Sus scrofa: one gene and its partner. The protein of the gene in region 2 interacts with the protein of the main gene of each other region in a biochemical or structural test. Links are inferred from orthologs where the notes say so. Each region holds a gene or a part of one and is shown on either strand. Other genes may lie near its edges. The genes, in order: KCTD12 and GABBR2.

Region 1 (3,998 bases), on a different chromosome or scaffold from region 2:
CGTCCGCCTGCGCGTCCCGCCCGATGGTGTAGGAGCCTCGGTAGCCGATGGTGATGTAGCCCGAGCGCCGGCTGCCGTCCAACGACTGGGAAGGCGTGAGCAGTGGGCCAGCCGCGCCCCCGGACGGGCTGCGGCTAGACAGCTCCAGGGTGGGCGACGGCGCCCCAGCAGAGGCGCCCTCCTGCAGCTCGGGCTCCGCATAGCCGAGAGGCAGCAGCTCGTCACCCAGAGAGCCCTCCTTCTGCACCCCGCGCCGCGAGTGCGGCGGCGGCGGCCCGGGGCCGGGCTGCTGGGGCGCCCCGAGGCGGCGCACGAGCTCGGGCAGCTCGAAGTACTCGGCCTCGCGCTGCAGCCGGCTGCGCTCTGGGAAGTAGTCGGGCAGCACGAGCTGCAGGTCCCGCAGGTAATCCAAGATGTAGCGGAAGAGGAAACCGTCTCGGTCCAGAAAGAAGCGGCCTTTGCTGTCCCGGGCCAGCTCCTGCGGCTGCTGCTGCGTGAACATGCGCCAAAGCAGCGAGTCGGGCACCGACACCACCGTGCAGCGCCGGGTCACATACACCTGGCCCCCCACGTTGAGCTCTACGATGTCAGGAAACAGCGGCGGCTCCGCCGAGGACGACGAGGAGCCACTGCCGCCGCCGCCGCCCCCGTTGGGTAATCCACGAGTGCTGTCCGCCAGAGCCATGGCCAAGAGGTGGCCGGGCTAGGGCAGTGGCCAGGAGCCGGGCCGCGCGCCGAAGCCGCCGCTTTCCCGGACGCTCGTTCAGCCTTGCGCCCCGGCCACTGCCGCCGCTGCAGCCGAGAGCCGCGCGGAGCCGAGCGCACCCTGCGAGCGCGCCGCTGTGCGCCCCCGCGAGCCCCGCTGCGCTCTGCCTGCCTCGCCCGCGCGCTCCAGGGGAGTGCCGGGTGGCGGCCCGCACGCCGCTTAAGTAGAGCCGCCCGCCCGAGCGCCGCTGCGCGCAGGAGGCGGGGGCGGCTGCGGAGCGGCGGAGCCTCGCTCCCTAGGCGGGAGGGGGCGGTGGAGCGGTGAATCGATTTGCATCTTAAACGCTGACGCCGTGGCCAGCTGCTGGCTCCACCCCGGCTCGCGCGCCGCCCGGGCGCCCCGACTTCCCCACCCCTCCTCGACCCGCGCTCCATCCCCTTCCCGCTCCCGCCCAACTTTCATCCTCTTCCAGAGTGGACGGAGCCTGGGATCTGCGCTTCGGCAGAGGAGCCTTCTTTGAAGAGGCAATCAGAACGCCCCTTTCCCTCCTAAGCGCTCCGGGGCCAGTGGAAGGAATACGTAAACTTTCAGGCTCTCCTCACCCGAAGAGTGGAAGTGCCTGACCGCCCCTCCTCCCCCCACCTAGCCGCTTTGAACACGGGAACTGTGCCTCTTCGTAAACACGCCGATCGCCGCGTTGCTGAAAGTTCCAGAGACCAAAAATATGGAAAGACCTCCCGCTGGGGTGGGCCCGCTTCAGCCCGGAGGCAGCTAGATTTTGTTCGCTAGGACGTGTAGCCTCGGGAAAAAAAAAAAAAAAAAAATCCCTACAAACAAAAAGTTAACCTCGGTATCCCGCTGCAGGATTTTCTGGGTAAAGACGCAAGCTCGTTAGTTGGGACTACCTCAAAATTGGAGGAAATGGGCTGAAATAGCAGTGGGGGAACTTGGGTGAGTTAAAGCAGTGGCTTCGGGGCGCGTTCCCCTCTAGGTAGCGGACGCTGCCTCCTGCTGAGCCTGAAGGGACGTGTTTGCCGAGGCCTAAAGGGAAGGCTCCGTCTCCGTGGCCCCAGGTGAATCGCGTTCTGAGACTTGGAGGGTTAGAAGATCTAATGTAATTTGGAGAACCTCCCTTTCAACCTCTGCGTCTTTATCCTCCCAGAGGTGCAGTGCCCCTGCTCCCTCGGGCCTGGGTCACTCCGTTCATCCCGCTCTAAATTCCTTCTAGTCTCAGGGTCCTCGAACACTGGAAGGCCCTCTCCAGATCCCTTGTGGTCTTCTAACTCCTGCTCCCTCCACATTCTCATTCGCCCGTTACCACGTGGCGGGTGGGGCCTTGAATGGCTCCTTCCACCTGCTCTAACCCCCACGCATTCTGAAATTTCGCATTTGTGAGTGATGATCTGATCTCTGACTTTGGTAAATAAAGTGCTCCTGAGAACCGCAGAAAGGGGACGGAAGAGTGGGTGGTGAAGGATGTCTAATCAGCAAGTCGATGAGTATCTATTGTGCACCAGCTATGTGGCCTCACTGGTAGAAGAACGCAAGGCTGAGTAGGCTCCAAAGCGCCATCAGTGTCACCGGGTAGGCAAGGGTCAGAGATCTAAGGAATTATCAGATCAAGTTTGAAAAACAGACTGTCAAATCAGTATATATCAGGCGAGATCTTTGTTCTTGATAAAAATGTTTCCCCTTTTACATAACTACCCAATGAGCTTTACAGTCCCCTCACGGATGTGTCATTTTCACTTAAAAGGTTTACGTCTGCTGAACAATTATCTCATTTCATGTCAGTGTACTAAGATCAAGCCCCAAACCAGCTCACTTAATTGCAAGTACAGATTTTGGTACTGAATTTATTTGACCACGCTTTTTTGTTTGGTTGGTTTTGTCTTTGATATAATAACAGCTGACACAAAAGTTCCAAGTTCCCATGCTGAATGCCTAGGTGGCTGTGCTACTATTTGTTATATCAGTGTCACAGACCTGGGGGGAAAAAAAAAGTCTCTTTTCTGTAAATCCAAGAAAAGCCTTCTTTGTATCAATTTTGTACATAATTTTGTACCATTACTTTTTTCATTGTAGCGGCAAATCCTGTCAGTTCTGCCTTCAGAATTCTTCCAGGCTATTCACATGTTTCACCACCACCCTGCTTCCACCTTTGCCTCCTACAGTGTTTTATCACCAGAACAAAAAGAAGGATCCTATTATAACCTAAGTCAGATCATGTCACTCTGCTCAAAGCCCCTCACTGGCATCTCATCTCAACAAAGAGTAAAACCCAGGAGTTCTTGTCGTGGCGCAAGAATCCAGCTAGGAACCATGAGATTGTGGGTTCGATCCCTGGCCTTGCTCAGTGGGTTAAGGATCCAGCATTGCCGTGAGCTGTGGTAGGTCCCAGACGCGGCTCGGATCCCGCATTGCTGTGGCTCTGGCGTAGGCCAGTGGCTACAGCTCTGATTCTACCCCTAGCCTGGGAACCTCCATATGCCAGGGGAGCGGCTCTAGAAAAGGCAAAAAGACAAAAAAAAAAAAAAAAAAAAAAAGAGTAAAACCCAAACCGCCAATGCCTACAAAACTCTACGAGATTGGGGCTGTCCCCTGAGGACCTCTCAGACCCATCCCCTGCCACTATCTCAGGCGCTCACTGCTTTAACCACGTTTCCAGCCCTACTCTTTTCTCAGGGCCTTTGCACATCCTGCTCGCTTTGCTGAAAGACTCATTTCTCCTCCCCATCTTATCTTCTTCACCTTGTTCAGGTACCTCCCTTCTCTCCTTCTTTGGGTCTCTGTAGCAAAACTTTCCCTTGGTCACCCTATTTAACATACAGCCCCACTCAAGCAGCGTCCCTTTCCCCATTTTGTTTACTGTTTCCCTGCATTAGAATATAAAGTTCAGATATTACTCAGCCATAAAAGTGAGTGAAATGTTGCCATTTGCAGCAACAGAGATAGACTTAGGGGACATTACACTAAGTGAAATAAGTCAGACAGACACATATTGTATGATATCACTTACATATGGAATCTAAAAGATACAACAAATTAATATAACAAAAAGGAAGAAAACTCACAAAGAACTTGTGGTTACCAATGGGGAGAGGGAAGGGGAGGGGCAACATAGGGAGGGGGGAGTGGAAGGTACAAACTATTGGGTATAAGCTAGGCTCAAGGATGTATTTTGTAATAACTAAATGGAAAGTAACCTTTAAAAACTGTGTACAATTTTTTTTTAATTTTAAAGAATACAAAGTCTAAGAGGTCATAGATTTGAGTTAGCTTGATTCATCAC
Region 2 (9,040 bases):
AGAGTAGTGTTGGAGACCCCATGTCGAAGTTAAAGTTGAACTTGTGTAACGTCACAGGTGTGGACAGAGTCCAGGAAAATGGGGAGCTGAAGAATGAACTTGAGCTGAGGCAGGGTGTCCTTTCTGAGCATCCCTGGCAGGATGGGCATCTGTCTGTGGCTGTCAGAGCCACACATTCTGCTCTCTGCTGGGATCCTGCTTGCCTTCTGATTGGTTCATCGCCAAAAACCTATTCAGTGCCAGTGCCAGAAGCTGTGTTCAGTGCAGGGGACATAGGAAGGACTATACCTACCCTCAAAGCGTTTGCACTCTAGTGCAGGGAACTAATAGGTAGGTCACTGATGGATGCCATGTAGCCATCACTAATTGGACTGGACTGTCAGCTGTGAGGGCATGGAGCAAATTGGGATGAGAGGCTATTAGCTCTAAGACTAAATGGCCCCAGATACACTGCAGTTGGTGATCCAGCTACCTTTGCTGGCTCCTCACCCTTTGTTGTCACTTCTCAGGGAACACATTTCAGAGTTGACATTCTAATCGCTGCCTCCAATCTGCTGTAAAGTGGGGATACCTAAGAACTGCCAGTGGGGACAAAGCTGTTGGAGATGTCATGGTCTTTGTTTTAGATGTTACCTTCTCACTGAGTCTGTTCTGACTGCCCTATGTAAAATTATAGCCGCTGCTCCCTCCCCTGCTTTATTTTTCTCCAAAGTGCCTATCATGTAATATGTGAGGTTTGCTTTTTTTTTAAGTTATTGTCTGGCCAGGCAGAATGTAAACTTCATGGAGGGAGGGGTTTTTGTCCTTTATTTCACTTCCATGACTGGTACATAGTAGGGCTCAGTAAATCACTGTTAAGTAAATGTATTCATTTTATATATAACAAAGAGAATATGTGATTTGATGTTGGACAGACCCAAGTTCAAATCCTATCTCCTGCAGTTAGTAACTGGTGAGCTTTGTCAAGTCACCTCGCCTTTTTGAATATGTCTTCTCATCTGGAAAATGAGCATTGTAACTTGACCTGCATCATGGGATTACTATGGAGTACAAATAAAGTAATGCATGTGAAAACATGGTGCCAATTGTGAACTACTATGCAGAAGAAACATACTCTTGGGCACTAATTCTCAAGGAGCAGGTACTTACTGTTCTGGGGAGTTTATATCTTCTATAGGATCTTTGCATGTTCGAGAGGGCTCTGTTGTGTTCCACTGGAGCTGGGGATTTTGATCGAGGTGATTTTTTAAAATGGCCTTCCCCCCATCTGAATGCAAAACAACAATATTGCAATATATTCTGTTAATTTAAAAGAATCAACAGTGCAGTCATTTTTTAGGATACCGCCCAGGGAGAGAGAATGCAGAAGACCCCATCTTCCCTTTGCCTTCTCTAAGCTGTGGTCTCTGCAGGCACTCTCCGGAGACCAAGGCAGGGAGCCGAGAAGCCCCTGTCCAGGGATGGAAATGCTGTGCCAGGGATGTGGAAAAAAGAGAATCAAGTCAACCAGTGTAGTCCGCATAACTTAGAAATGAGAGGTTCTAATACGAAGGCCCTTTTCACAGGTGCATTAGGAATGTAATGACAAAGAAAAAAGGAACTTCAAGGTATATTTTACATAAGATTGCCAAGGATTGAAAAGAAGAGTAACAGTAAACTGCTAGTGGGAGAATAAATTGGCATAATCTTTCCAGGAGGCACTGTCAGTAAGCATCAAACACTATGAAAAGTATCTTTTACCCAGAATTTCCACTTCCAAGAACCATCCCAAAGAAATCATTAAGGATGTGTATGGGATGTATACAAGATATTTTACAATAACAAAGTTGGAACTAACCCAAATTTGTCCAGTAACACACATTACTGTATATGTACGGGCCTCCATTCAGAGAAATACTGTGTAGCCACGAAACGTGATGCTCTCAACCCTCTTTGTGTTTCAGAACCACCATGTGTAGCACTAAAGAAGTAGAAAAACGTGGCCCCCGGAAACTTTCAAAAAGACATCCTACTCCAAAAGACAAAGAGGAGGCCACATCAAGAGGTAGGAGGGACAGTTATGAGATAGAAGCAACCCCATACTTCCCAGGTGGGAAGCTCCACAGACTGGAAAGTAACTGTATCACAGTGACTCACCTACAGGAGTGAGAGTTCTGAGCCCCACATCAAACCCCCACACATGGGGATCTGACACTGGGAGACAGAGCCCCCAGAGCATCTGGCATTGAAGGCCAGTGGGGCTTGTGTGCAGGAGCTCCATTCTTAAAAGGCACACACAGACTTTCACGTGCACTGGGTCCCAGGACAAAGTAAAGTTTCCATAGGAATCTGGGTCAGACCTGACTGCAGTTCTTAGAGGACCTCCTGGGAAAACAGGGGTGAGTGTGGCTTGTTGTCGGGAAGGACACTGGGAGCAAAGCTTTCAGGAATATTCATCAGCGTGCCTTTCTCTGGAGGTGGCCATTTTGGGAAAATCTGGCCCCACCCATCAGCACCGAGAAGCCCCAGGGCAAACAACAATCCAGGTGGGCTCACAGCCCCGCCCCTCAGTAAAAACAGGGCCCTCACCTGCCAGATCTGGATTCATTTGGTTGGGAGGGGTGTTTTCTTTTTCTGCCACAGTGGGCAACCTTAGGTGTGTGTCAGTTTGCATTGTGTGAGTAGTCAGTGCTCCTCATTCACCGATTCTGTATTTGCGAACTTGCCTATGGGCTAAAATTTACTTGTAACCCCAAAATCAATACTCGTGATGCTTTCATTGTCATTTGATAACACACACAGAGCATCAAAACATTTGAGTTGCTCCCCTAGCAGAGGTCGAACAAGGCTCTGTCTTCTTGTTTCAGCTCTTATACTATAAATGAGTATCCTTATTGTAGTCTATGAAATACCACATTGTTAACATCTTTGTGCATTGCGTTGGTCCTTTCGCTGTTTAAAATGGCCCCTAAGCGTAGTGCTGTCCAGTGTTCCTAAGCATGATGTGCCAGATGGAGAAAACACGTGTGTCAGTTGCGCGTCACAGGCATGAGTGAGAGTTCTGTTGGCTGTGAGTTCAGTGTCATCAGTCACCAATATGTATTAAATAAGGTGTCCTCCAGCAGAATCGCGCATGGAACAAAGTTATGTATTGACGAAAATGTCCCCCTGGGAGAGGCTTGCAGGAACCTAACCCCGTGTCTCCTCTGAGAGCCACGGCTCAGTCCTCTCAAATTCACGGTTCACAGGGACTTTGTAGAACGCAGTTACTGTGAATGACAAGAGTTGACTGTATATCCTTAGGATAAATTCCCAAAGTGGACTTGCTGGGTCAGAACAATTTCTATTTCAAGTGGCAGTGTTTCCCCACCTGTTTTCTCCCACTCTCAGTAGCTCTTTGGTCTCTAATCTTTGCTATTCTTATAGGTGAAAATGTATCTCATTGCAGACTTATTTGCATCCTTTAATTAGCAGCGAGATTGAGCATCTTTTCATAAATACAAGAACCACTTATATTTCCTTTAATGAGAACTCTCTTGCCCATTTTTCTTTTGGTTTATTATCTTTTTTCTTTTTTGTCTTTTTGCCATTTCTTGGGCCGCTCCCGCGGCATATGGAGGTTCCCAGGCTAGGGGTCGAATTGGAGCTGTAGCTGCCAGCCTACGCCAGAGCCACAGCAATGCCGGATCCGAGCCACGTCTGCGACCTACACCACAGCTCACGGCAATGCCGGATCCTTAACCCACTGAGCAAGGCCAGTGATCGAACCCGCAACCTCATGGTTCCTAGTCGGATTCGTTAACCACTGTGCCACGACGGGAACTCCATATCTTTTTTCTTATTAGTTTGTATATATACTTTGTAATTCATATAATACCTCTTTCTTTCTTTCTTTCTTTTTTCTTTTTTCTTTTTTTTTTTTTTTTTTTTTTTTTGCTTTTTAGGGCTGCACCTGGGGTATATGGAAGTTGCCAGGCTTAGGGTGGAACTGGAGCTGCAGCTGCTGGCTATGCCACAGCCACACAGGATCCGAGCCATGTCTGCTGCCTACACCACAGCTCATGGCAACACTGGATCGTTAACCCACTGTGCAAGGCCAGGGATCAAACCCAAGTCCTCATGGATACTAGTTGGGTCTGTTACCTGTGAGCCACAATGGGAACCCCCTAATTTCTTTTTATATATAAGGGACTAAGCTCATTACCTGAGTTATAATATCTTTTGACTTAATTTGTTGTTTGATTTTTTTTGACTCTACTTATGATGGCTTTCTCATTGTTAGAAGACTCTTTGTATTTAAATTTATCAACCTTTTCTTTTGTGATGTTTCTGTTTTGCATCAAGCTGAAAAGGTTTCCCCCCTGCTGAGATGACAAAAAAATTCCATGATTTCTTCTACTATAGTCATGGTTTCACATTTTATGTTTAAATCATTTATCTCTCTGGAATTTATTTTTGTATGAGTTGTGAGATAAGGATATAACTTCATTCTTTTTCAGATGGATACCCATTTATCCCAATGAAATTTACTGAATAATTTATTTTCCCTCACTAACTTGAAATGCCCACCTTTTCAAATTAGATACTAAAAATTACTAGGAATAATTTTTATTCTTTCAATTTGTTATCCCAATCTAAACATTTTTTTACAGTCAATATCTTACATAATAAGAATTTTATAATATTGCTTTTATAATAAAATACTTATATAATACAAGAAACTAAAGATTTTTCATTGATTTAAACAAAATAATTGATAAAATTAATGAATATATGCTAATGACAAGATGCAAACAGGAAAGAAGTACATAAAATGAAAGGTAAAAGAATCCCCTTCACCCACTCTCCACACACACCCTTCACACCTCGGGTGGATACTGTTAACAATCTAGTGTCTGTTCTACCAGACTCTTAAAAAAAAATGCACGTACAGACACACATATGTGTGTGTGCTGTTGTGTGCATCATAATGCTGGTCTTCATCTTGTTTTTCTCAGTTAAAGAGATTTTTTCATAGCTGCAAAAATAGATCCACCTCCCTTTTTAATAGCCCTGTTTGCCTGTATCATAACTAATGAAACCACCCCAAAGGACAAACCTGTAATTCCAGCTTTTCTCACCTACAAGTACTGTTATGTGTGTCGACACCTTTACCCACGAGCAGCCTCCTGCAAGGGGAATTGCTAGTCGAGGGGCTTAACATCTGCTGTTTGGAGAGCGCCAGACCAACTCCCACAACACTACAGGAGTGTGCCCATTTCCACACGCCCTTACCAGTACTGGTAATGTTTTTAAAAAGTTTGCCTAAATGTAGGCCCCAAATGGACTGTGTTATTTCTCAAGGGATTGGGATTAAGCATCATGTCATTTTACTGACCATTCCTTTCCCGTACATTGACGAGGTGTGTCTGAGACTCTGAAATGTTACTGGCAGAAGTACAAGTACACTGTTCGCTAAGAACAGCGCGCCCCCAATTGGACCACTGGGAATGCCGGCCGTGTGGTGTACACGTGGAACTGGAGCCCCACGCATAGTTCAAACAGACCCTGCTCAGAGGATGCGGGTTCTAGATGCTCCAGCTCTGTGTGTGTGGCTTCAGACCACCCTCACCACCCCAGCTTATTTTTTCATTTGTAAAATGGAAGCTGGATGGCTGCTGTCTGATAGGCAGGGGCCCTGCCTTCTCCTACCTGTGCTCTCGGTGAAGTTCCCCAGGTTGAGAATGTCGTTGAGCTCTTGGTAGTGGTTCTGTTTAACGTAGGTGGTCTTTTCTGGTGTGTCCTGCAGCTGCATGGTGACTTCTTCCAAGTCTTTGTCCAGCTAGAAGACAAAGGCTCTAGCTGAGTCAGAGCCTCTGGCCCAGCCCCTGCCCTCACTTTGGCAGCTAGGCCTCAGAGCTAAGAAGCAGCTTGCAGGGTCACAGGGCTAGGCCTCCGACTGGCTTTGAGGGGACCCAGAGCTAGAGGGACTGTTGTGTGTTGGAGAAGAGATGCCCAGGGCCTGTCCTATCTCTTGTTCCAGGAGAAGCAATGATGCAAGGGGCCTGGGCTGTGCAATGATGAGTTCAGTGCCGGCCTGAGCCTTGATGGAGCAGCTGAACAAGCCTAGGGAGGCAGGGCTGGGCAAAACCAGGGCTGCCCCTTCCTTACTGGCTGGTTTCAACTCCTTCTTCTGTAGAGTGGGGTAACAGCAGTATCTTTTTTATGGAGTGGTGAAGATTAAATAACACAGTGAAAGTTTAGTCCATTGCCTGACACATAATCTGGTAACTGGTTGCTATACTGCTACTACTGTAATTATTATTATTGATAGCTAGGAGGATCTTTGGCAGGGAGGACACAACTGTAGGGCTGGTCAGCTCTGAGCCTTACATGGTCAGGGGACTCCTGCAAAGGAGTTAATCAGGATGGATCTTAGCTGCTTCCAGGTTATATAAAAATCAGATGCAAGCTCCGGGACATTTCAGCCCCTGAGAAGCCAGGGGAGTGTGCGAGGGCTGGGGAGTGGGTGGCAGCTGGGGAGCATAGTTGGGGATCTTGCTACAGATGGGGGGGTATAAAATAGCAATACAAAGTGCTATTCTGATATTGAACACACAGCCATGAAGCTGTTTAATAATTTTTCCTGTGGAGGAAGAGAGAGAGACCTTTTTTTGTGTGTGATTCAAATAGCAGGGCTAGGTTCAAAGGGTAAGCAGCAGGAGGTCAGATTGTGCTTCAGTTGTAGAAAAACCCAACATTTAGGATTTTTGCCCCTGGGTAGGGTTTCATGTTTCCTAGACTGAGTGAACTTTTCATGGCTGGAAGAGCAAGTAGGATTTGAATATCAAGGTCCAGAAATAAGGTGTCACCAGTCACTGAAAGGCTTGATATCAAAGCAGAATCGGGGGTCAAGCCACAGCCCCTGTAGAAGCAACGCTGAGTAGTTACGCTGCAAACCACATGGGATGTCTAACAAGGAATCTAAATTTTTAGCATAAGTTTATTCCAAACACTGTATAGGATATACTCATACAAAAATATGATTGGTTGTTTATCTGAAATTCAAATTTAACTGGGCATCCTGTACCTAATCTGGCAATCTCACTTATTCCTTGGGACTGTCCAGCTAGAGACTACATTTCCTAGCCTTCCCACTGGATAAGTATGATCAAGTAAGTTGTTGCCAGTGTAACTAGAGCAGAACCAAAATGTGTGCAATTTGTGTGTCACCTGCTTAAAAGGTGATCCTTTTGACATGCCATCCACTCAGCTTTAACTCTACTGGTGAGGAAGATGCCTTGGGGACTAGAGAAAACAAAGAATAAAAGAGTCTCATCTAGCAATGACCTTGGGGAACAGAACTGTCTGCAGCCTGGACCTCTCTCCTCAGGATTGTCAGGTGAGAGAGAAATGAACATATATCTTCTTTGGGCCACTTTATTTTGGGGCCTCTCTGTTATAGCAACTTAGCCAGTATCCAAAACAGCACACTTTGGGTCTGGTCATACTTCGAACCCAGAGGGAGGGCTGGTTTCCCTTCCCTGGTGTTGAAAGTCCAGAATTTGAGGTTTGGCTTGGACACAAAGGAATCTGGTTATGGCTTCTCTGGAGGCCAAGAACAAAAGTGAGATCTGTTGCAGCCAATATTTCCTCCCAGAAGTTTCTCCTCACTTCTTGCTCTCTTGCTGTACATCATATGGATATGAGTGCTTTCTGGGTTGTGTTGGGAGAGTGAAAAACTGAGGCGAGGAACACACTTAGGAAGCTACTTGTGAGATAATAGGAAATACATATTGGCCTCCACCCTGACAAAGATGCGCCTGAAACCCTTTTAATTTCCTGGATGTTGGAGTGTCCTCGTTCTAATGAGGCAGCTCTGGGTGGGCTCCTGAAATAATCAGCCATGATTAGAAGCTTGGAATTTTTAGCCTTGCCCCCCATCCTCTTGAGAAAGGGAAGGGCTGAAAACAGAGTTAATGATCAGTCATGCCCAGTGATGAAGCCTCCATAAAATCCCAATAGTAAGAGGTTCAAAAAACTTCCGGCATGGTGACCACAAACACGCTAGGAGGGTGATGCACCTCAATTCCATGGGACAGAAGCTCCTGCTTTCAGGACCCACTCCAGGCCCCCCTCCCCACTGTATTTCTTCTTGGCTGTTCATCTGTATCTGTTATCATGTCTTTTTATAAACTGGTAAATGTGTTTCCCTGAGTTCTTTGAGCTGCTCTAGAAAATTAATGGAACCTAAGGAGGGGTCATGGAAACCTCTGATTTGGGATGAGGTTGGACAGAACTGTGGGTAACCTGGGTCCCACTACCTGCAGCTGGCATCTGAAATAGGATGGGAACAGTCTTAGGGAAGGTTAGAGCCTTTAAACTGTAGGGTCTGCTACTCTAGGTAGATGGCCTTAGAATGAGTTAAATTGCAGGACGCCAGGCTGGTGTTGAAGAGAATTGCTTGGGGCCTACCCCCACCCCCGCCACCAACTCCATTTAGTGACGGAAGAGTCGAAGGGAAGAGTCGTGTGTGAGCAGTGAAGGAGACACAGGATGTGGAGTTTTCCCAACTTAACTACTATAATCTAGGGGCTCATAAATCTCTTAGGAGCTCCTTTCTTTCTGAGAACCAGCCACTGATGGACCTCCGAGCCTGGGCCAGGTGGGCAGTAAACTCCTGTCAGATTCTGACACACTGCCTCTATATAGGTTATCTTCCCTCTGGTTCTTGCAGCCATAAAGACAGGAGATGGGACTGCAGGCCATGCTGTGGGAATGTTCCAGAGGGGATGTGGTGGGAGGTGGCAGCTCAGAGAGTCCCTCTACGGGGCAGAAGGATGCAGACAGGAGGATGGGGCCCTGGTGACCAGGGCCGTGGGAGGTACCTCTGTGATCTTCATCCGAAGGCGATGGTTTTCTGACTGTAGGCCCTCTAGGCGGGATGTGCTTGCTTGGTTCACGCTGGTGACTGAGGTGGAGGTTTTAGAATCTTCTTTCTTCTGATTCTGAGTGAACTGGAATCGTCTGTTCTGAGTTGCTGCATCTGGGTTTGTTCTCAGAGTGATGAGCTGAAAGGACA

Evidence for each region.
Region 1: the proteins of GABBR2 (region 2) and KCTD12 form a complex in vitro, tested with the Homo sapiens proteins (2 studies listed by BioGRID). The link is inferred for Sus scrofa from reciprocal best matches to the Homo sapiens genes GABBR2 and KCTD12.

Annotation. Positions count from the first base shown.
Region 1 is NC_010453.5:49,030,409-49,034,406, forward strand, and holds the start of KCTD12 (BTB/POZ domain-containing protein KCTD12), read right to left. Parts: upstream 2,801-3,998; 5' UTR 686-2,800; coding exon 1-685. UniProt on the Homo sapiens protein: Auxiliary subunit of GABA-B receptors that determine the pharmacology and kinetics of the receptor response. Increases agonist potency and markedly alter the G-protein signaling of the receptors by accelerating onset and promoting desensitization.
Region 2 is NC_010443.5:240,111,534-240,120,573, forward strand, and holds part of GABBR2 (gamma-aminobutyric acid type B receptor subunit 2), read right to left. Parts: intron 9,030-9,040; coding exon 8,847-9,029; intron 5,801-8,846; coding exon 5,671-5,800; intron 1,268-5,670; coding exon 1,150-1,267; intron 1-1,149. UniProt on the Homo sapiens protein: Component of a heterodimeric G-protein coupled receptor for GABA, formed by GABBR1 and GABBR2. Within the heterodimeric GABA receptor, only GABBR1 seems to bind agonists, while GABBR2 mediates coupling to G proteins.